Diceros bicornis minor: one gene and its partner. The protein of the gene in region 1 interacts with the protein of each later gene in a biochemical or structural test. Links are inferred from orthologs where the notes say so. Each region holds a gene or a part of one and is shown in the gene's direction. Other genes may lie near its edges.

Region 1 (12,161 bases):
CCCCCCACAGAGCTGCCTCAGTCTTTCTAGCAGCTGCATGGAATTTCCCGGTAACGATGGCCACGGATGTTATCTCACAAGCTTTTGCTGTTACAGTGTCCGTTGGTCTTTGTGCAGGTGCGAGAGTCTCAGTCGTGTAAATGCCCAGCGACGGTTCCCATTTTGATAGCTATGGCCCAGTCACAGCTGGAGGCGCTCCCACTTTGCACAGCCACTACGAGTAAGAGCACCAATTTCCCCACACCTCAGCAACACTGTGTGGAACTCACAATCAAACAGATTTTCTAGCTAATGGTGAATGCTTTCAAGACAAACACCACTCCACCAGGGTACTGCTCTGCCCTGCTCTTCTCTCACGCCACAGCGTCAGTGGGCATCTTTCCATGACGTTGTATGAAGATCGACCTTGTCGTTTAAACAAAAATTGTAAAAGTCATGTAACGTAAAATTTACCATCTTAACTATTTTTTTTTTTGGTGAGGAAGATTAGCCCTGAGCTAACATCCGATGCCAATCCTCCTCTTTTTGCTGAGGAAGATTGGCCCTGGGCTAACATCCATGCCCATCTTCCTCCACTTTATATGGGATGCCGCCACAGCATGGCTTAGACAAGCGGTGCGTCAGTGCACGCCCGGGATCCGAACCTGCAAACCCCGGGCCACCAAATTGGAGCGTGCTAACTTAACCACTGTGCCACCGGACTAGGCCCCCATCTTAACTATTTTTAAGTGTCCAGTTCAGTGGCATTAAGTAACATTCATATCATTGTGCAACCATCACCACCATCCATCTCCAGAACTTTTTCTTCTTCCCAAACTGAAACTCTATACTCCTTAAACAAGTCCCCATTCCTCCCTCCCTGGCCTCTGACAATCACCATTCTACTTTCTGTCTCTTTGAGTCTACTCTAGGTGCCTCATATAAGCGCAATCATACAGTATTTATCCTTTTGTGACTGGCTCATTTCACTCAGCATAATGTCCTCAAGGTTCATAATGTCCTCAAGGTTCATAATGTCCTCAAGGTTCATCTATGTTGTAGCAGGTGTCAGAATTTCCTTCCTTTTTAAGGCTCAGTAATATTCCATTGTATGGATAGACCACACTTTGTTTATCCATTCATACACTGATGGACACTTGGGTTGTTTCCACCTTGTGGCTATTGTGAATAATGCTGCTATGAACATGGGTGTACAAATACCTCTTCCAGACTCTGTTTTCAATTCTTTTGGGTATATACCTAGAAGTGGAGTTGCTGGATCACATGGTAGTTCTATTTGCAATTTTTTGAGGACCTGCCATACTGCTTCCTATAGTGGCTGCACCATTTTACATTCCCACCAATAGTGCAAAAGGGTTCCAATTTTTCTATATCTTCACTAACATTTGTTACTTTCTGTTTTTCTTGATAGTAGCCATCCTAAGGGGTGTGAGGTGGTCTCTCATTGTGGTTTGGATTTGCATTTCCCTACTGATTAGTGGTGTTGGGATCTTTTCATGGGCTTCTTGGCCATTCATCTCTCTTCTTTGGAGAAATGTCTGTTCAAGTCCTTTGCCCATTTTTTTTTTTTTTTTTTGAGGAGATCAGCCTTGAGCTAACATCTGCCAATCCTCCTCTTTTTTTTGCTGAGGAAGACTGGCCCTGGGCTAACATCTGTGCCCATCTTCCTCCACTTTATATGGGATGCCGCCACAGCATGGCTTGCCAAGCAGGGCATCAGTGCACACCCAGGATCCAAACTGGCAAACCCCGGGCCGCCGCAGTGGAGCGCGCGCACTTAACCACTTGCGCCACCAGGCCAGTCCTATCCTTTGCCCATTTTTAATTGGGGTTTTTGTTGTTGTTGAGTTGTAGGAGTTCCTTATATATTCTGGATATTAGTCTCTTCTCAGATACCTGATTGCAAGTATTCTCTCCCATCCTCTAGGCTGCTTTGCTCTCTGTCGATCGTTCCTTTGACACACAGAAGTCTTAAACTTTGATGTAGTCCAATTTATCTATTTTGTCTTTTGTTGCCAGTTCTTGGTGTCATATACCTTGTCCCTTTAAATGGCTGCGTGGTGGTCCCTTGTGTGGCTGATCTATAACTGGATCTATCAGCAAATCCTGAAGGTTTTCCTTTCAAAACAGATTCAGAATTTGACCACCTCTCCCCGCCTCCACGCCCACCACCCTGGGGGAGTCACCATCATCTACCTGCATGACCGCGGTCCCTCCTCACGGGCTCCCTGCTTCTGCCCTTACCTCCAGCGCAGCCCACCCCTCCACGCAGACCAAGGGACCTGTTAGAACCTAAGTCAGCTCCTGTCCCTCCTCTGCTCAGAACTCTCCAAAGTCTTCAGGTTGGCACACAAAGCCCTGCATGATATGGGCCCACTATTTCTGAGATAATTTCCTGCCACTCTCCCTCTGCTCCACCCACAACTACACAGGGCTGGCCATGCTCCTCCCTCAGGGCCTTTGCACTTGCTGTTCCCCCTGCCTGCTACTCTCCCCGCAGATATCTGCATGGCCTACTCCCTCATGCATTCATGTTTTTGCTCAAATGTCACCTCAGTGAGGCCTCCCCTGACCACTATAATCTGAAGTTAAAATCAAATCCCCCAGCCCGCTCTATCCCCCTCCTCTGCTGTATTTTTCTCCATGGTACTTACTAGAATCTAACACAATGCATACTTTACTCAATTATCTTGTCTATTGTTTGTCTTCCCCAAGGGGAATGTTAGCTCCACGAGAACAGGAATCGCGCTGTCTCGTTCATGAATGTCTTGTTCTGTCTCTAGGGCCTGAACTACGATAGATGCCAAAAATTTGGGGGAATGATGAAGTGAAAGTGAGCACTTTTTTGTCTGTTTGCGGGACATTTTTATGTCTTTCAGTGGCCTGCTCGTGTCCTGTGAGCATCTCTCATATCCATAGTGCCAACCTCTGTATCACAAAGCAAGGTACCCAGTAGGTCCTCAACCAAGAGGATTCGTTTAAAGCAAGCCTGCATTCCCAGAGCCTGCCACGTGGGGGCAGCATATGCCCAGGCAAGTTTCACCAGTCAGCCCTAGCGTCTCCCAGGACGCCAGAATTCTGGATCCCAGGATATTGGGGCCTGGCAGCCCTTGGGGACCTAATCTTGGCCCCATTTAGCAGATGGGGAAAGTGAGGCCTCAAAGAAGAGGCGTGGTGGGGAAAATCCCAGACATTGGAATCAGGGGACCTGGCTTTTAAGTCCGACTCTTTTGCCAGTGGAGCACTGTGGTCTTGAGGGAAGTCCTAGCCCTCTCTGGGCCTGTCTCCCATCTGCCTGCTTGGTGAGTTTTTCATCACTTGCTGCGGTCAGGCCCTTTGTGGGGCTAAGGGGAGGTCTGATTCACTTCCATGTGTTGGGGCGGGCCAGCGGGCCCAGAGGGCCCAGAACACCCGAGAGAGGTGAGATCATTATCCTCATTTTATAGGTCAGGGCCTGAGGTCTAGGGAGGACCCCGGAGTGCCACAGCCAGGAGGGCACAGAGCTGAACAAAAGTCCACCCTGCGGTCCCCCCACTCCAGAGGCATCTCCATGGACCATCTCCAATGGTTCCCCCTTCAGCCTTATTTTTCTACTCGCTGGCTGATTTCTAATCCCCTCTGCAAACATTTTTACCACTCTCCGTCAAAGAGCAACAATGGGACTCCCTTTGAGCAAGTCACCTCGGTTTTCTCCTCCCGAAAATGGGGCTAAGGAACAGCTGCAGAGACTGGGGGAAGGAATTCTGAAAGCAGTCTGGGGCAGAGGAGGGCGGGTATCCGGGTGGGAGGGCGCCTGTTCCTCCCCAGCCCCGTCTGTCTCCTGCCCACCACTCGCAGCCACGTGGGCCCAGCCCACGGCTTCTGGTTTTAAAAGAGAAGCTGGAAATTTGAATTTTGATGTGAAGTCTCCCGATTTTTAAATGTTGGCAATAAAATCATTAAAAAGAAAAAAAAAAGCAAAACACCATGGGGTTGTACTGAACCCGTCTGTGGGTTGGATTTGGCTGCTGGCTGCCAGTTTGCGACCCTTCCCTGAACAGGTTCCTACAAACACCTACGCCGACGGTAGCTGGGAGAGGTCATCGTGGGTGGCGGCGGGCGGATCCTGGTTTCTGGGCTCCGCTGCCTGCAGGCCACCAGGGTGTGCTCTGGCCTCTGGGCCACAGGAGCTCAGCCTCCATCCATCACCCCTCCTCGGGGCAAGGCCGAGCGTTCGTGCTGGGGCGGCAGGCAGGGCCTGTTGAGCAACGAGCCTTGGAAAAACAAGGGCTTACGTCACCGTGCACGCTGCCTCCCCGCAGGACACCTGGGGTGGCAGCAGGTGGGAACCGCCAGAGTCCTCGTCAGGCCGATGGCGACTCCTGGGCAGGGAAGGGGGGAGCAAAGCCTCAGTGTCTGGCGGGTGAGGACCACCCTAGAGGCTGGGGGGCCGCGTCTGGTCCTTGGGGCTCGCCCCCAGGGTCTGGGTTGCCCCTTGACTCACTGTGTGACCCAGGCCATGCTTCTCTGGACCTCGTTTTTCCATTCAGAAAATGGGGTTCACACCGCCAGACCTGTTATGACTTGTTACAAACCCAGAGGGGAAGGTCAGGCTGGAAAGACTTCAGTCCTCCCCACACCTTTAAGGGTGTGGGGCAGGCACCCTTAGCCCAGCTGGGCCTCAGTTTCCTCATCTGTAAAGTGGAGATAATAACAGGACCTGCTTTCCACAAATTATCAGGAGGATTAAATGAGTCAATACATGCAAGGAGCTTAAAATGTGGTTCAGAGACAGTGGAAGATTGGCTTGAGGACACACAGCAAATCCTCCAATAAGCTCCAGACCCCCCACCGTCAGATCTCTGCATCTCCCCAGAACCCTGAGAGGTGAGGGGTACTGAGGCTCAGAGAGGGGAGCCATCTTGCCTGAGGTCACACAGCCCAGCTAACAGGGGAACCTCACCTTCTTCTCAACCTCCTCCATTCATTGAGGACCCTCTGTATGCCAGGCACTGTTCCAGGCACCAGGGGAACAGCAGTGAACAAAACAACAAAAATCCCTGCCTGGAGGGTCTGCCGTGGGGAGGGGGCAACAGGGACAGAAAGCAAGACGGATAGGTGAGATAACTTTGATCGTAATGAGAATGTGAAGGAAATAAAGCAGGGGGGTGTGGAAGGAATGACTGAGGGCCTGGGACTTTTGATGGGGAGGTCAGGGAGGGCTTCCTGGAGGAGGGAACCTTTGGGCTGAGCCCTGAGGAGCTGCCGTGGGCAGAGGTGGGGGAACAGTGTTCTCGGTCCAGAGGGAACAGCAAATGCCTTCATTCACTGGTAAATTCTGGGCACGCCCGGCCCAGGAGTTCCAGTATTTGAGGGCCCGTCCTCACGGAGCGAGCAGTCTGTGGGGAGACTGAGGCAGACAAGACGACTAGGATAATGGTAGCAGCGATACGGCTGGGAAGGAAGTTCACTGCAGATGGGGCAGGGAGGGCCTCTGGGAGGCGGTGTCCCTCCAGCTCAGCCCTGAATGTCCCACTTTGCAGCTTGGAAGGTCTGGCTGGGTGGCCCTGGGGCCTTGGATCCCTCCTTGGCCCAGAGGCTGCTGGGAGGGTGCAGAAAGCCAGCAGGCCAGGACAGTGGTTCATCCGTCCCTCCCTGCCTCCCACCCCCAAGGGCGCTAGGAGCGGTCATTTCTCCAGCTCTCCGGGGCGGAGGTCACCCCTACTCAGCAGATAACGCCAAAGGTTGAGCAATGCCCGCCTGCCAGCCAGGGCCAGGGCTGGGGTCAGTGGGCCGGGGGTCAGCCCCAGGCTGGCTGGGAGCTCCTGCCTGGGCGGCCTGGGCCGGGAGTGGCAGAGGGGGGCCCAAGGAGCTGCCCAAATGGCCCAGGAATGGGGCCCGAGAGGGAGAGCATACTTTCAAGTCCAGGAAGGCTCATCGCCCATTGCCCACCTGTGAACCTGGGGCAGCAAAGCCCCCTCCTGGCAGGGTGAAAAGTGAGCCCCGGAGCTAGGCCCACCCTCGACGCACAGTAGGGAGTGGGTAAAAATGGGGGCACTCCCTTATCTCTCCTGTGTGGCCCCCTCCCCACCAGCCTCAGAAACAGGAGTTTCGGCCTGGCGTTGGCAAATAGGTCTTAGGGTGTCCGGGCAAGTGCCTTTCTTTGAGACGAATGGGGGACATGAGGCCATGTGACCTCGGGGGTGCTGTGCCCCCTCTGGGCCTCTCTGTACCCTCTGGGGGGCCCTTCTTTCTGCCGTGCCTCCCAGTAGAGTTAAAACTTCAGCCTTATGTTTGGGAGTCTGCGGAGGAGACTAATACAACTGATAACAGTAAGGACACCTGCGTGGACATACGCGCAGAGAAGTGACTAGCCCGCGCTCACACCGTGTGGCAGAGCGGAGCACCCCGGGCCCCAGGTCAGAGCGGGGTGGGGCTGCACAAGACCCAGGTGTGCCCTAAAGGGGCGGGCAGGTGCGGTGGGCGGGGCTAGGGGAAGGGCGCGAACTACGTGGGCAGAGGCCCCAGTGCGTCCCTAACCGGCCCCCCCACCCCTTCTCCTATGCAGGTGGCTTTAAGAGGGAAGTCGCCGCAGGCGTGGAATCCCCTCCCTCCAGGAGCCGGAGCTGGGGTTGGAGTGTCCAGGATCCGGCGTGGGGAGCGCCCCCTCTGCGGGGCGTCGGGGCTGGGCGCCGCCGATCCTGAAGCCAGCGCCTCGTCCAGCAGAGGGCGGGCGGCGGCCGCGTTTGGGGTCGGGGAAAGCGATCGCGTCGCCCCCTCCCCGGATTCTCCGCCCTTCCAGGACAGCCTCCAGCCCAGAGGGGGCGGTCCGGGGGCGGGGTCGCGCCTCCTCTTCTCGCTCCCAATCCCGGGGCCGCCGGGTGGGGGGGCCGGGGGCGTGAGGCCGCCCCCCGGGGCCCGGGGACCCCCGAGGGCGCGTTCCCGGGCTCAGGTCCGGCCGCCGCGCCCCGCCGCCTCTCTCCCGGGGTCTCGGGCGGCCACGGCCGCGGCCTCCCCGTCCCGGCGGCGGCGGGAGGGACCGGGGCGTCAGCCAGGCGTGACGCAGCCGTTACCATGGTCCGCCTTTATAAATAACCGGGCTCTGGAGAAACTTTAGCGAGTCAGAGCCGCGCACGGGACCGGGAAGGGGACCCACTCGAGGGTCCAGCCGCCAGCCCCCGCACTAATAGCGGCCACCCCGGCGGCAGCGGTAGCGGCAGCGGCAGCGGCAGCGGCAGCAGAGACACCGCGGCGACATCGGAGCCGGGAGGCCGCGCCACCTGCGGCCCGGCCGGAGCGGGCAGCCCCAGGCCCCCTCCCCGGGCACCCGCGTTCATGCAACGCCTGGTGGCCTGGGACCCAGCATGTCTCCCCCTGCCGCCGCCGCCTGCCTTTAAATCCATGGAAGTGGCCAACTTCTACTACGAGGCGGACTGCTTGGCTGCTGCGTACGGCGGCAAGGCGGCCCCCGTGGCGCCCCCCGCGGCCAGACCCGGGCCGCGCCCCCCCGCCGGCGAGCTGGGTAGCATCGGCGACCACGAGCGCGCCATCGACTTCAGCCCGTACCTGGAGACGCTGGGCGCGCCGCAGGCCCCGGCGCCGGCCACGGCCACGGACACCTTCGAGGCGGCTCCGCCCGCGCCCGCCCCCGCGCCCGCCTCCTCCGGGCAGCACCACGACTTCCTCTCCGACCTCTTCTCCGACGACTACGGGGGCAAGAACTGCAAGAAGGCGGCCGAGTACGGCTACGTGAGCCTGGGCCGCCTGGGGGCCGCCAAGGGCGCGCTGCACCCCGGCTGCTTCGCGCCCCTGCACCCGCCGCCCCCGCCGCCGCCGCCGCCGCCGCCCGCCGAGCTCAAGGCGGAGCCGGGCTTCGAGCCCGCGGACTGCAAGCGGAAGGAGGAGGCCGGAGCGCCGGGCGGCGGCGCCGCAGGCATGGCGGCGGGCTTTCCGTACGCGCTGCGCGCCTACCTCGGCTACCAGGCGGTGCCGAGCGGCAGCAGCGGCAGCCTGTCCACGTCCTCGTCGTCCAGCCCGCCCGGCACGCCGAGCCCCGCCGACGCCAAGGCGCCCCCGGCCGCCTGCTACGCGGGGGCGGCGCCCGCGCCCTCGCAGGTCAAGAGCAAGGCCAAGAAGGCGGTCGACAAGCACAGCGACGAGTACAAGATCCGGCGCGAGCGCAACAACATCGCGGTGCGCAAGAGCCGCGACAAGGCCAAGATGCGCAACCTGGAGACGCAGCACAAGGTCCTGGAGCTCACGGCCGAGAACGAGCGGCTGCAGAAGAAGGTGGAGCAGCTGTCGCGCGAGCTCAGCACCCTGCGGAACTTGTTCAAGCAGCTGCCCGAGCCCCTGCTCGCCTCCTCCGGCCACTGCTAGCGCGGCCCCCGCGCGCGTCCCCCTGCCGGCCGGCCCCCGCGCTGCCGGGACTCCGGGCGGCGCCCCGGCCCTGGTGGCGCCGGCGGAACTTGGGCACTGGGGCGCTTGGCGGCGCGGGGAGCTCGTCGGTAACTTTAATATTTTATTATATATATATCTATATTTTTGTCCAAACCAGCCGCACGCGCAGAGGGCGCGCCCGCCCGCGGTGTTATTTAAAGAAGAAATGTCTATGTGTACAGATGAATGACGAACTCTGCCTGTCCCTCTGCCCCTCTCCAGGCGCCGGCGGGCGGGCCGGTGTCGAAGTTGATGCAATCGGCTTAAACATGGCTGAACGCGTGTGTACACGGGACTGACGCAACCCACGTGTAACTGTCAGCCGGGCCCGGAGTAATCGCTTAAATATGTTCCTGCGGGGTTGTTGCTGTTGCTGTTGTTTTTATTGTTGTTGTTGTTGTTTTTTGGTCTTTTTTTTTTGTATTATAAAAAATAATCTATTTCTATGAGAAAAGAGGCGTCTGTATATTTGGGAATCTTTTCCGTTTCAAGCATTAAGAACACTTTTAATAAACTTTTTTTTTTTTTTTGAGAATGGTTAAAAAGCCTTTTGGGGGCAGTAGTTGGCTTTTGATTTTTTTTCTTTGTTTTGGATTGATACGGTTTTATTTTTGCTTTTCTGGTGTGTCGGGGGTTGCTGTGTGTGTGCGTGGGCTGCTATTATTTTTGGCTTTTTTGGGGGTTGGGTGGGGGTGTTACAGCTGGTTTTTCTCCTCCTCTGCTGCTCTCCGCCCCGGGTCTGTGCTTGGAGATGGGGGTACCAGGTCTGGGGGGGAGGGGCAGAGGAGTGCTGGGTCAGGCTTACGCGGTGACTCAGCGCCCCGGGGTGCTGGGGAGGAGAGCCTGGGAACCTTGCTTGGGGAGGGGTCGGGGACCTCTGGCTGGTCCTGAGTGCCAGGCTCGGGTTTAGGGGGGCCTGGAGGTCTGTGACCTCTGCACGGTGTTTGGGGAGCAGTCAGGCAGGCCGGGTTATGTAGGAGGAGGGGTACAGGTCTTGGTCCTGCTGAGCCCAGGTTGGAGAAGATTCTTTGGGTAAGTGTAGTGGGGCGGGCTGTTTAAAAACTACTTTGCGTGTGTGTATATATTTTAAGAGAGGAGGCTGGGTGCGTGGGCGAGCTTGTGTGTGTGTGTGTCCCTGGCTGGTGTGTGTGTCCCTGGCCGGCGGGAGGGAAGAAGCTGGGCCGGGTGGAGGGAGGTGGAGGAAGGGTGCTCCCTTTCCTTGGGACCCGACATTTACCACTTGTCCTCTCTCCAGATGTGGACACGAGGCCCGGCCTCGCCTGCTTGCTCAAGGTGGCTGAGCTCAGATTTGAGCCCGGGGCCACTGTCCCTGAGTCCCTGGGACAGAAACGGCTCGGGGTAAGGCTTTTGCTTCCCTGCCCCCCATACGCTCCCGCGCCCCCGCGCTGCACCCCCACCCCCGTCCCAGCCCCGGACAGCATTCCTGAGAGTCGAGGATGTCGACGGGGGTTGGAGGGGTTGGTGGATCCCCGGCCGGCGGCCGCGGTGCCTGGCACGCAGGAGGTGTTATATAAGCCTTTGCTCTTGTTATTATTTTTCCCTGGGAGTCAGCCCAGTACCCGCGACAGCACATGGGCTCAGCCGCCCCTCGGATTTACCTGCTGGAGGGCAGGGGCTGGGCGCCGGACCTGGGGAAGGGGGCGACTCAGTCTTTCTGGGGGGCGCGGAGGGTCACAGCAGAGGAAGGAATCTCTCCGGTCCCGCTCTCCCCTTTGTCACGGAGAGTGGCCTCGTGGCTGCCGCTCACCCATTTTGCAGAAGACACAAAGGAGCTGAGCGGGGAGCAGCCAGGCCGAAGCCGAAGAGCGACCCCCACGCGCCCCTTTCCTGGCGCTGCCTCGGAGCCAGCCTTGAGTGCCGCTCTTTACACACTCACAGCCTGCTTGAATCGACGTAAGCGCCTCGTGGAGGGTGTTACACCCATTTCACAAAAGTAAACTGAGCCCACAGAAGTGGGGTTAGTGCCCAGGGTGGAACGGGGTGGAGCGGGTTAGGGAGCTGAGTCCGCCTCCCGAGTCTCCCGGGAAAGCTGGGGGCCGGGAGTCTGGTTTGTAACCCCAGCCCCTGCCCCCAGTCCTGCGCCGTGCGCGGGGGCTCCTTGCCCAGCCCCAAGTTCAGGCGCCCCCAGCGCCAGAGTTAAGTGACTTGCGCCCTGTTTCCCAATTTGGAAGCAACAGAAAGGGGATTTGAACCCAAGCCCATCTGATGGCCCCTGAAAAAGGCTGGGAAAAATGGTTAATAGGTCGAGGGCTCTCGTGGTGGCCTGGGTTGCCTGGTATGGGAGCACTGTGGACGGAGCTGTGCCCAAAGACATGGGGAGATGTCATAGATTGGGGGACACCCACCCCACGGATCTGTAGGCTAGGAGGGCTAAAGGCTTGCGAGGAGGGGGGACCAGACCATTCAGAAGTTGGGAGGGTAGGAGGGGGCAAAGGGGCACTAGAGGGGCCCAGGAGGCCAGAGACGCACCTGGAGGAAGAGGAACAATAGTGGATGCGAGTTCAGTGCTTATGACATGCAAAGAAAGCCCCACTCCGAGGCCTTGGCACAGACGGACCTGCTCGATCCTTCCGTCCGCCCCAGAAGGCTGGTCGTGTTAACCGCAGGCCCATTTAGTGGGTTGACCACTGAGGCTGGCTGGGAACCCCAGGCCATGTTTGCTCAGGATGGGCGAGTTGTGAGAAGACGTTCACACCGCATGGTCTTATGCAGTGGCCCATGGCCTGGTGATTTTACCAAAAGGGAAAGTGGGTGTCAGAAATGAAAGCTGGAGACACTGGGCCGGGGGTGTGCTGGCTACTATAATTGGCTCATCAGCCTCTTGGAGGCCGGGGCTTTCGTTATTGGTGTTTTCCTGCCCTGCAAACAGGCTCAGCGAGGGGCAGTGACCTGTCCGATGCTGCACAACTAAGAATAGTAGAAATTGGGGTAAGAAAGAGAAGAGGGACTTCCCCATCTAAACACCTAAAGAACGTGTCCTCCTCCCCTAGACTCCCGTCCAGACCTCCTGGGACTGTTTTGTCCTTGTTTCTGAGATTTATTTGTCCAGTTGTTTTTCTCATTTATTCAACATGCATTGATTGAACACCTGCTGTGTGTCAGGCCCTATGCGGGGTGCTGGGGACATGTGGTGACCCAGATGGAGGTGACAATTTATGGGGAGAGACAGACACTAAGTCCAGTAACTTGAACAAGATGATGACAGCTGGGGACAAGGGCTCTGAAGGAAGGAAAGTGGGTGGGAGTGGCGGGGAGGTGGCATCTGAGCAGACACCTGAGCAGGTGAGGTGTGAGGGGGACGGGCCTCGGTTCGTCGAGCGCCAGCTCTACACCACGTGTGTGCTTTCCGGGCCTTGTATCCCTAGAACAATCCAATGACTCTGGTGCTGCTTATCACCCCCCTCCCCAGTTGGGGAAACTGAGGCACAGAGAGATGAAGTCACTGGCCCCACAGCTGGTGAGTGACTCATGTGAGATCTGAACCTGAGAGTCCTTCTCCTGCCTCCGCCGTGGCCCCAAACCGCTCATTTGCTCTGCTTCCCTGTCCGGCCCCCCAACCCCCACCTGGAATCCTTTCTCAGCATGGCTGACGTGCTGGGTGACCTGGGATGGAGACCCTGTGGCCCCAGCTGGCCAGCTGGCCGCACCTTCTTGGGGGTTTTCAACCTCGTACTGGCTGTGGCCACATGCAGGGGAGGGAGGGGGCCCAGAGTGAGCGGGGA
Region 2 (12,300 bases), on another chromosome or scaffold:
AGTGCCTGGTGCAGAGTAGAGACTCAATAAACATCAGTTGATTGAGACAGAGGAAAAAGAATGCAAGAATGAGTAAGTGGGACAACAACATCCCTCTGTCTGGGGAGCTTCCCATCTCCTTCTCACCTCAGCCTTGCGGCTTCCAGCGATTGACCTGGCATCTAGACCTTAACGTGAGGATGGGGCTTCCTCCATAGCCCAAAGATGGCTCTCCGGGCTTCTGGATCATCCTGCAGCCCCAAAGTGGTCTCCCTCCGCCGCTGCTTCCCTCTTCCCCACTCTTCTCTCCTCCTGGGGGAGCTCCTGTAGTTCTGCTCCCCTCTCTGGCTCCGTTTCTCTGGACGTCTTGGGTCCGCCTGGCGGAAGCACATTTACCACCAGTGGTCAAGGTAAGAAGTGGGGCTCAAGGCTCTTCTGCTGGGCTCAACTTCTTTACTGAGTTGGCTCAAGTCTGGGCTTACTCTGATTTGTTAATGCTTTAAAGTGTCCTGTTTTAAGTGAATGTTAACACTGCAGTGCACCTCAAATGCTTTTTTTCCTAAATAGACTTCATTTTTAGAACAATTTTAGATTTGCAAAATATTGAGAAGATAGTGCTGAGATTTCCCATTTACCCTGCACCCAATTTCCCCTATTATTATCTTACATTAGTATATTTGTTACAATTAATGAGCCAATATTTATACATTATCAAATAAATTAAATAAAGTCTATACTTTATTTGATTTTTTTTAGTTTCTACCCAATGTCCTTTCTCTGTTCCAGGATCCCATCCAGGATACCACATTACATGTAGTCATCACATCCCTTAGGATTCTCCAGACCGTCACATTTCCTCTGACTTTCTTTGTTTTTGATGACCTTGACAGTTTTGAGGAATACTGGTCAGGTATTTTGTAGAATGCCCTTCTAGTGGAATTTGTCTGGTGTTTGTCTCATTTGACTGGGGTTTTGAGTTCTTGGAAGGAAGATCAAAGAGGTCAAGTGACATTTTCATCTTATTATGTCAACATGGTTTATGACTATTGAAATTGACCTTGATCACCTGGCTGTAGTAAGTAGCATTTATCAGGTTTCTCCACTGTACAGTTCCTCTTTATTTTTCCCTTTCATGCTCTGCTCTTCAGAAGGAAGTCACCATGTGCAGCCTACACTTAAGGAGTGGAGAGTTACGCTCCTCCATCTGAGGGTGGAGTATCTACATAGATTATTTGGAATTCTTCTACATGGGAGAGTTGTCTCTTCTCCGACATTTATTTATTTACTCAATCATTTATTTATATCAACATGGACTCAGGGATATTTATTTTATACTTTGGATTATGATGCAATACTACATTATTTATTTTGCCCCTCAAATTGGCGTGGGGGCTCTTTGGGTGCTGGGGGCTCTTTCATTTGGGTCCTGTGACTCTTTGACATCCTATAATGGACTGAATGTTTGTGCCCCCCCTACATTCCTATGTTGAAGGAATCACTAATCCCAAGTATGATGGTATTTAGAAATGGGGCCTTTGGGAGGGAATTAGGGTTAGATGAGTTCCTGAAGGCCCTCTTTTGATGGGATTAGTGCCCTTATAAGACGAGACACCAGACAGCTTGCTCTCTCTCTCTCCCCGCATGCGCACTAACAGGTCACATGAGCACACAGGGAGATGGCGGCTGCCTACAAACCAAGAGAAGAGGCCTCAGAATAAAATCTACCTTGCTTGCTTCTTGATCTTGGACTTGTCAGCCTTCTATTGGAATTTGTCTGGTGTTTGTCTCATTTGATTGGGGTTTTGAGTTCTTGGGAGGAAGATCAAAGAGGGTGAATGCTATTTTCTGTGGTTTAAGCCACCTAGTCTATGATACTTTGTTATAGCAGCCTGACCTAAGGCACATACCACCATTGTTTTGCTTTTTGAGTACTTCCTTACTTTCTGGTACTGCAAGATGCTCCAGGCTTATCCTGTATATTTCCTGCCTCAATCCTAGAATCAGCCATTTCTCCAAGGAGCTCAGTTCCTTTTATTAAAGAATGGTATTAGAAACTAAGAACGGGGACCTAGGTAACAAATTCTCTTTGGATGGACAAACTATTTTGTGCCTCCTACGTGCTAGGCACTATGCGATCTTCTTTTCATGTCAACTTACTTAATCCTCGTAACAATTCTATGAGGTATTTACTGTCAACCCTCTCTACAGATGAGGAACAGGTTAAACCTAGGTTGGCTAGGTTAAATGCTAGCCAACATCACCCTGTTCTGTCTCCAAAGCCCATCATACTGCCATGATGGAGACTGGTGTCACATATATCACAAATATACAAACCAAAAAAACCCCACCTCATTTATCTTTGGTTTGGTACTTCATAGGCACTGGAATAATTTGCATTACAATAACTATGTAACAGGTAATTAGTGCTTATTCTGTGGAGTGAAGATATGTGATAATAAGACCCTCTTGGGCCCACAAAAGATCCAGATTACCTCTCTTGATGTGCACAGATGTCACCCCCTCTCTTATGTGCACAGATGACGAATACCTATCATTATATGCCCAGGCGACAGGCACCTAGCCTCATGTGCACAGATGCATGTAGCTCTCCTCATGTGTGTGGATGATCTGCACTGTCTTCATATAATCACATGGTACACATCTATCCTTGTGCACACAGATGACAAGTACGATTCTTAAGTGCACAGATGACATGTCTTAACTCACAGGCTAACAAAATCTGACACATGGAAAAATGCTTTATGATAGACATTCACAGTATTTGCTAACTGTTCAAGTTTAAGCTATGTCAGATTTTTCTCTTCATGCATAGGACCTGCTTTTGAAATTTGGAAATGTCCTAAGACAACTATTTAGCATCTTAGCTGTTATGATTCCAAATAGTGCTTCTAAAGGTAAAATTGGAGGTTTAAATTTTCCCCTCAAGATAGGGATCATATCACGTGGGAAAGAACAAATCAGTCAGCCAGGGTGACTAAGGATCCATTAGAGTGACCAGTGTGATCTGACATTTGAAATGGATATTAATGGATTCGTCTGCTCAGCACTCTCTTTTCCTCTGGGAAGTGCCTCTGCCATCCCCTCCGTAGCTGCCATGTTAGTACATCGTGATTTGTTCCCGGTTATTTGATCATTCCGGGTATGAGCACACTGCTCAGCTGGGCCAATCCCAGAGTCCTTGCCTAAGGATTTTTGTAACAAGAACTTAGAAAGGGATTTAGTTGGCCTTTCTCTAGTGACCAAAGCTGTGAACATTGAGGATGTCATTGGCCATGTGAAGAAAGAAGCAAGCAGAAAGAATAATGAAACCAATAGGCATGTGCACACACACATACACACACAGAGACAGAGAGACAGAGACAGACATGAAGACATTTGAGCATTTCAGGTCTTGGTTCTGATGTGGCCTGGTACTTCATGAAGAGTGTCCTATAACCTTTGACCATGTCCTTCTTTACGCTAAGGCTAGTCAGGGATGGTTTTCAGTTACTTCCAATCAAAAGAACCCTAAGCAATGCAGAATGATTGACAATCACTGTCACATTATTGCTAATATAACACAATCAATATCTACTGAGATTCAAACCTGTGACAGACATCATCTCAATTCTCAAAATATTATAGACATGGTCCAGATCTCCTGTCAAAGGTGGTTAATTTGGTATACTAATTTTTCAGAAACTTTCCAAATACACATTTATGCTAGATACCTAAGTATTATCATTAAGTACTTAAGGCACATTTAAGACAAATACTTGTTTGCATAGTAACTGTCTATTGATCTGGCTTTCAAACAAGAGATTTCAAATTATTAAATTTTTCCTCCATTCTACTTTATAGAAACAAATGAAATGATAAGATGTGGCAACTAAAAGAACTATTCTAAAAAACATCTTTTGGGATACACCAAAGGGTCAGCATCAACACCCTCAATATTGTGTATATTTCAGTGCCTGAATCATCAAAGCAATGTTAAGCACCCTGTTTTGAAGTTCATTTTAGTCTACTACAATTCTATGGATATAATTTGTTTATAATTCACATATGAGCATCATGGTATTAACAGCTAACACTTTGCTCCTACCATGGACCAGGCAGGCATTGTTCTAGGAGCCTAACATATTAACTCCTTTAATCCTCACAGCAATCCTATTAGGTAGATACTGTTGTTATCCCCATTCACAGTTGACTCAGAGGTCAAGTAATTTGTTTGAGGTCACACAACCAGTAAGAGGTGAAGCTGTGGACAGAATAGCCTGACACTAGAGTCCATACCTCTTAGGTAACTAAGGTCGTTAATCATAGTAGCTGTCAGGTCACTAGCATGTTCAGTTAATAGGACATCCTACTTCTCAAGTCATTTGGAGGGGATTTTAATGTACTACTTGTTTACAAATTCTTTGGATTTGTAGAATATGTATTGGGTATCAGTGAGGCAGAGATCTCTGCAGGAAATTTTTCTTTTATTATGATGGCTTGGGTCCCTGTGACTTACAAGAAAGCAATATGGTGGATCTCCTCAACCTGGAGATAGCCTCCACCAGACTCTCCTCACTTCTTTATGGGGAGAGCAAGTTAAGAGATGGCTTTCCATCTCTCTTATGGTAAAAATCAGAACGCTTCTAGGCCCTGCCTATCTCACAGTCTAACGGGGACACCGTGGTTCAGTCACTCTGGCCTTACATTTCTCCCATCACAAGACCTTTAGATAAGACATTCCCTCTGACTGGCACATCCACTTCGTCTGTGCCACGGAGCCAAACTCCACTCATCTTTTAGGCCTTCCCTGACCCATAGACCAGGTTTTGATCCCGTTTTATAATCTCTCACAGCACTGTGTACGTCTTTCTTGTAGTATCTATGAAAATGGTTATAGAAAATTGTGTCATTACTGAATGTCTGCTTCCCTTGGCTCTAAGTGTAAGCTCCATGTGGGCAGGGACTGTGTTTGTTGTGTTCATTGCTGAATCCCCAGCACTTGGCCCACAGCTAGCACATAGTTGGCACCAAATAAATATTTGTAAACTGAGAAGAAAGAATTACCAGCTACCAGTTGAAGAGGAAATAAACACTCTAGTCTCCTTGGCATTGGCTAGACTTGCTGAGTGTGGAAGGCGGCCTGTCCAGATAGACACAGAAAATGCTAGAGCAGCTTGGCAGAGTGGCTAGCAAACTAGAGGATAAATGAATATACCAATATGATTTTTTTCCATACAATTTTTAAGAGATTAGAAAATAGTGAGGGTAAAATTATGATTTTGTGAGCAACAAAATATAATCCAACTTTAATAGTGCTAAAATCTTGATCAAAGAAATTTCAGCTAAGAACACTGAGGGCCAAAGTGAAAGAAACATGCTGCTTTTGATGATATTGTGTCACTCCAGCAAGTGTGCTTCTATGGTCATCGTGGTTCACTTTTAGTTGCAGCCCTTTTTATTTTTACTTTATTTTTTGCAAATGTTTTATCATCTCTTTATGATTCCTCGAAACAGTCCTATGCAGAGAGCTGGTGCCATGGCCTGGGCGATGAAGAAACGTTTCCTCTTTCAAAGACTCTATTTTTTGGACAACAGGAGTTGCTCAAGAGGAAGCAATCAAACCTATCGCCGGCTCTGTCCTCTACCCAGCACACTGCTTCCTGGTTTTAAAGCGCTTTCAGATCCGCCTGTGAATTATCTTGGATAAATAAAGCGGGATTGCCATTCATTTTTGGAGATCACATCTCAATCTGGAAGACAGCACAGGGGAATCGATCATGGAAATTCCATTCGTTTCCCCGTTTCAGCGAACCACAGTCCGCAGTGTCCGCCAACGTGACATCAATACTACGTTGGGAAGATTTTGCTTCGTTCGTTTTTTAACAAGTTTGCAGTTGCCTTAACGGCTGTGAGGTCCAGGCCTTCTCTGCAGGCTCCCTCCGAGGGCGCGGGCCCGTTGGGTGCCCCACGTCCCGGGAAACTGTCCCCGTGAGGACGCCGAGGGGGCTCCCCGAGGCCGTGGGGAAACCAAAACAGAAACCGCTGATTCAAAACACCACCTCAGGAAATGGTGCTTTCCAAAGACAGGTGTTGCCTCCAACGTTGACAGACCCTTTCTCGCCGCGGGTCTCCACAGCTCCGGGCCGCAGCCCCGCTCCAACGGCGCAGGAACCCCGGGCGGCGCCGAGGCAGACCGTCACCTCCCGCCACATCCGCCCACTCCGCTGCGCCGTGGTGGACGCCTCCGCCACGTGCCCGCCTCCCGCAGCCAGACCGCTCCCGATTGGCTGGCGGCGCTGCCTGTCGCGAGGGGCGGGCGCGTCGCCTGCAGGCCGGCGCTCCCATTGGTCCTTGACGCGGCGGCGGCAGCGCGCGCGGCCCCGGCGAGGAGGGGAAGCCGGTGGCGGCGGCGGCGGAACGGGCGGAGGCTGCCGGTTTCGTAACCGTCGCTTGTCCTCGGTGACTCGCAGGCTACTAGGCCTGGCTCGGGTTGGGCCGCGGCGCGCGGGGCCGCTCGGAGTGGAGGCCGCCTGGGGGCGGGCGGGCTGGAGGCGCAGGTAAGGAGGTCGAGGGCGGGCGGGCGAGCTGACGGGGAGGAGGAGGCCGCGGCGGAGCCGGCCGCTTGCGTGCGCTTGGGCCTGGCCCGAGGAGACCCGGCCCGGCCCGAGGGGGCCGGCCCCGCGCGGCGTCTGATGCAACCTGCCGGCAACACCCGGCGGGGCCGCTGAGCTCATCCCTGGCCGCGGCCCAGCGCCGCCGCGCCGCCCGCCGACCCCCGCGCTCCCCGGGCGCCCCTCGCTGCCGGCCCGGACGGGAGGGAGTCGAGGTGTGCCCCTCCGGAAGTCGGCCCTGCGTGCCGTCCGGCTGTGACGGGGCTCGTATTGGCCTCTGGGGATAAAGGGTGTTCCCAGAATAGCAGAAGGGGGACCGTATCCCACTTGAGTGGCACGTAGGATAGATCCTGCCCCCACGAAGCTGCTCGATGCGGGCTGGTGGGGGATTGTGTTCAGAAGGTACTAGAAGGAGCAAGTAGTGAGGGGAAGAAGTTGCTTTTTAAATACAAGACTTTACAGAAATAATAATATGCTTTCTTCTGGGGCTGTAATTTGAATATCCTGCAATTCACTGTTGAACTTAGGATAGATGAACGTGCAGCACCCACGGGTGAATGGGAAACAGGAGGGCGAGAGATGCAGCGCCTCGTTAGCACGGTTGGAGGGAACACGGGAGAATAGCTCGCAGAGGTGTCTAGATGGAGAGGATGCACATGCGTGTTTGGGGGGAAGGATAGAATGTTCCTACAGGTAAGCTTGTATGTTTCTGTTCTACGGAAGGTTTAAGTATGTGGTTTGCCTCCTGAGGTTTCTGCTGGAATCTGGCATCTTAAAATGTGTCACTTCGAGAAAGATTTTAACATTGGTGGGTTGCACAAAAATTGGTAGTTCTTCCTCGGAGCCCACACTCAGTCGGTCCTACGCTCTGTCAAATCGTTATTTGAAGAGATTGTCTTTTAATTCAGATAGGATATGTAACTCCGAGAGAAATTTTGGCAATAAAATACTATAAGGGCTTGCTTTACTAAGAAATTCTGCATCTAAAAGTTCTTGATACTTAAAAGTTAAAATCTGGTCAGCTGTTACCCTTCGAGTAGTATTTGGGATAAGCTCTTCTGAAAGTTGATTCTCTGTTTCTGGAAAAACTTACGGTAAACAAGGTTAAATAGTTACAGGATGCTAGTGAGCTGAAGAATTTTTCAGTTTCTTGATTCCTGCTTCTGGTGGCTGCACTTAGCTGATTCAGTCCTTTTTAATATCCCTAAAAACATAGGTGGAAACAAAACTTCATTTTTCAGATTATGCTTTAAATTCTCAAGAGTACATCATGACTGTTAGCGAGGTTGTCTGATCATGGACAGGTGGTTTCATCCCAAGAGATTTAAACAGCAAGTGATGAGTCCCTGGTAAAGACAAATAGGACCTCATGGGGCTGAATATGGTCTTATGGCCTAAGCTTGCCTCACCTGATCACAGTAATGGTAAATGCAGGAAGTCACAATTCCAGGTTTATTGTGTATTTTGGGGAGGAGGTGCTTCTGTGGGTTCTCGTACTGGTAGGTACATTGATCTTCTACCTTTTTGGCTTTCCAGCCCTGTCAGTAAAAAAAAATAAAAATAAAAATGAAAATTGACCATGACCGCCTACTGTATATTTATAAACAATGTGTGTGTATTATTTTTTTTGTATGTTATAAATCACACCAAAAGTAGAAAGATGACATTAAAAAAAGCTGAATGTACATTTTTTTCTCCTACTCCAGTGGACCACTTAATGTATTCCCTGAAGGGATGTACCCTCCTTCATGGACCCCTGTTTTGGGTCATGAAGCAAGCAGTGGCAACTGAATAGAAATCCTGCTCGTTTGGGTGTCTGTTGACTTTGCTTACCTTGACTTCACTTGTAGTACAGAGTTGGCAGATCCTGCCATACATGCCTAAGAACTTGAGGTTATTAATTGGAGAACATAACTGGGCTAAGTAGAAAATAAAGGTTCTAAACTGAAATGAAGCAAAGACCAGACACGAATGATGTTCACTGTACAGACTAGGGACTTAATAGCAAATAGAACTTATTTTTATTTTTCTGTACACTTTTAAGAAAGACCAAAAACTTTAGGTAGCAAGACCATAATATCTTAGTAACACTCTTTTGATTTAATTGCGGTTGTTTTAAGAGATTTCAATGCTAGAGAGTCTCATTTTTATATGACATTTATAAAAATAAATGTTTTCTCTTAGGCTTTTGAGCCTGTATTCAGCAAATATTTGTTGAGCACCACTATATACACCTAGCTCTGCACTAGATGCTGGGCATGTGGCGAAGACGAGAGTCCTGCCTCCAGCTTAGTCTACAGGGAGATACACTGTAGAGCTGGCATTGACAAAGAAACTGGGGACAGAAGAAAATTGGACAGAAGCACAAAGAAAACAGAAAGCACAGACCATTTAGGGGACTGATAATGGTTTAGTATCATTGAGGTGTGAAGTATAAGGGAGCAGAGGCTAGAGAGAGGTTAACACCTTGGATTTGATCCTCTATGCCTGAGCCACAGAAGACTTTTCAGCAAGAGGTTGTGACACACTCAGGTTTGAGTGCTAGATTGCTCTGGAGACAGTGGTTGGAGGGAACACTGCTAAACCAGAGGAGACTAGTGCCCCTGAGAGATGATGTCAGCCTGAGGTAATTCTGTGGCAGTGGGATGGAGAGGGATGGTGGATGTTTTTTTTGGGGGGGGGGGGAAGGTGGGTAGAATTGTCAGATACTAATGATTGAACAGATTTGGAGCAAGGGAGAAACATCTATGAATATTTTGGAATGTAGATCTTCACTGAGGAAATTAGAGTGAAAAATTTATTTTGGGGGGCTGGGGGAAGAATATCTGTACATATGTGAAAAAAGTAAAGAGGGTTAGGAAAATTCTTGACAGGTTTATTATCTCAAATGAAATTTGAGAAAAATTTGATTTTGTTTTACTCATTCTAACATTCTGAGTTTTCAGTGTGTTCTTGATTTGCATGAACATTACTCAGATTAAGAAATTTGAATTAAAAAAAATGTTACCCACTCAGGCCTTCTTTCTTAAGATCCATTGTTAATGTGTAGCAGTGGTGCCCAAACTTCAGTGTCATCAGAATCACTTGGAGGTCCCATTAAAACAAGATTGCTTAGCCCTGTTCCTAGAGCTCCTCATTCCTAGGTCTGGGCCAGCCTGAGAATTTGCACTTCAAACAAGTTCCCAAATGATGCTGCTGCTGGTCCAGGGACCACACTTTGAGAACTACTGCTCTTCAGTTTTTCTACTGCTTCCTGCTTGAATGATTCACATGCAAGGAAACAGGGTGCCACCCTGCTTCCTGTGGACTGAACTTTGGAATAGTATTTGTCCCCATAGTAGCCAGACTTTCATTTAGGGTTGAATACACAGATTTGAAATAAACTTATTTTTTTGCTCACTGGAGGTGCTCAATAAATGTTTGTGGAAGGAACAGAAGCACAAATGACAGTGTAAACTGTACAATGTGTAACTTTTGGAGGCAACTATTTGCTCAGTGTAAAAACCAAATTGATAATCCATGTGGAGTTAAGTCTTTTAGGCGACTTAGCTTCTTGACCCCCTGTACTTGCTTCATGTTCCTTTATGGCTATCTCTTCACTTTAAGAGCTACTTTCTTGGCTTGTCTTTGGTTGAAGAACTTTTTTTTTTTTTTTTTTAAACATTTTTATTATCTGTAAGTTTATTATCTCCAAGAGTATTTTGTATTATCTGCAAGTCCCCTTATATTTTTACCAGTTTGATGAGTACTCTTTATTTTTCAAGCCAGAGGGCTCATTTTCGAAACCTCGCCTACTATATTCAGCCTAGTACCTTGGCAAGATGAGTCAGACTGAGGTAAAAGAGCCCTTCCGTATTCCTGTGTCTTTGGGTACAAAAACAGGCATGCATATCACTGAATTTGGGGACTGTCATATGAGATTTTAGTGACTGAAGTTCATGGTGTATTGTCCAAGTCAGAAGGCCTCTTACCAGTCAGCAGCCCTCATTTGCAGATGAGGAGATGGAGGCCCACAGAAGGGAAGGGATGTGTCCAAAGTGAAAGAGGGCAAGCCAGAGCCAAGACAAGGATTGACCTAGTTCCTGTTCTGTGCTTCTCTGGATCTTTGTTATCTCTGAGTTGACTGTAGAGATTAGCTTTAAAGACTAAAAACATAATTGGTATATGAAAAATAAGATAAATAAGATGAATATGATCATGATTGTTGAGACGATCCCAGGAGAGGTATTAAATTAAACAAGTTCTTAAAAATTGGGTAAAACACTCATCTTCACTTTACACCAAATAGATAAGCAATAATGTAGATGGCCACCAACATTATTAGTAGTAAGGGTGGTTCAAATTAATACTGAACTGCCACTTTTTAACTGGAAGGAAAAATAGGCAACAGAATAAATGATCAAGAGAAATTGTGAAATGTCCATTACTGAAGATAGATAGACTTGGAGTGGATCTCCATCACAGTTTGCAAGGAAGCTTTCTGTCTTGCCTCAGTACTGGAGTGAGCACAGACGACCCACTAGAGCTCAGGGCTGCCTGCATGGCTTTAAAACCAATTGAAAGTAATGATATATGCACTTTTTAAAGCATTTTATAAAAGCAGACCAATAAACAGTGTTTATACAGAAATGCCTGGCTAAAGGTTTGGGTGAAGCTACTAGTGTTTATTAACTGAGCTTTTCTTAAGAAATGTGAGATATACTCATTTGAGGCATTTCAGCTCCAGGTTTTTTCCACTGATGTAGTTTTAGCAGTTTTGTGAAAAGAGAACAGAATAGTTTTATGGTTCATAACACTGCTTTCTAAATTTCCAAGAGTGCTATGACTTCTTGGTAGACATGGTTCACTCATTGTAGTCAGTATGTCCTGAAGTGGCCTCGTGATTATAGGATAGATATGCTTTTGACACATCTTGAGGCAATTGTAGCGACCTAGTTGGATTCAAAGTAATCCGAATATGACTAGTTTCTGAAAATGTGACCTCATTTCTACAAGCAGCACTACAGTAATACTTCAGAATTGGCATCTGCTCTGAGCTCCCTCAGCAGTGTGAGGGGGTGCGGGCACTGCAGCTGCTCGGGCTCTTTGTCTAGCCTGAGTTCGAGTACTTGGGCTTCCTTGGATGCATCATTAGGGCTTTTGTTTCTTTCCGTGTGGTTTCAGGTTGACTGTGTTTAGATGTGTTTATTAATCATGTCAAGAAGAAAAAAACATGATTAGAAGCGTTGTGGGACAGGGAAGCAAATTGGGTGTCTCAGAGCTCCTAAATCTATGATCTAAGAAACTGACTTAGGAAATCTCTGTACACTACTATCATTTGAGGTCATTAAAAAAATAAGAACAGCAGAAAAACATTTTTTTCAAAATATCCCATAAAGATATGCTCTGGGAGAAAAGTCAAGTCCTTGATGACTCACTCTGCATATTGGAGTAAGGAACATGCAGAGATCATAGTGCGGTATTCCTGAGGAGTGTGGGAGGCTGGGGACTCGGGTCCAGCATTCTAGTCTTGACTTGAACCAACAATTGAAACTTTTTTCTCCTTTTCATTGCAGGTGTCTCTTCTATCATAATTGAACTCAGCTTTTCCATGTTTAACCCAAACATCTCAAATTTCTCTCTGGCAGTTTGCCAAGTGCTATTCATATATGCTACCTAATTAGTGCTATTCTTTTATTTTTCCTCCCGTTTTTGATAACAGTCAACAGAT

Evidence for each region.
Region 2: the proteins of CEBPB (region 1) and CEBPG form a complex in vitro, tested with the Homo sapiens proteins (2 studies listed by BioGRID and IntAct, with this or other methods). The link is inferred for Diceros bicornis minor from reciprocal best matches to the Homo sapiens genes CEBPB and CEBPG.

Annotation. Positions count from the first base shown.
Region 1 is NC_080758.1:11,902,697-11,914,857, reverse strand, and holds CEBPB (CCAAT/enhancer-binding protein beta), read left to right. Parts: upstream 1-6,918; 5' UTR 6,919-7,314; coding exon 7,315-8,358; 3' UTR 8,359-8,947; downstream 8,948-12,161. UniProt on the Homo sapiens protein: Important transcription factor regulating the expression of genes involved in immune and inflammatory responses. Also plays a significant role in adipogenesis, as well as in the gluconeogenic pathway, liver regeneration, and hematopoiesis.
Region 2 is NC_080773.1:7,002,114-7,014,413, forward strand, and holds the start of CEBPG (CCAAT/enhancer-binding protein gamma), read left to right. Parts: upstream 1-6,381; 5' UTR 6,382-6,536; intron 6,537-6,866; exon of another isoform or gene 6,867-7,283; intron 7,284-12,300. UniProt on the Homo sapiens protein: Transcription factor that binds to the promoter and the enhancer regions of target genes. Binds to the enhancer element PRE-I (positive regulatory element-I) of the IL-4 gene. Binds to the promoter and the enhancer of the immunoglobulin heavy chain.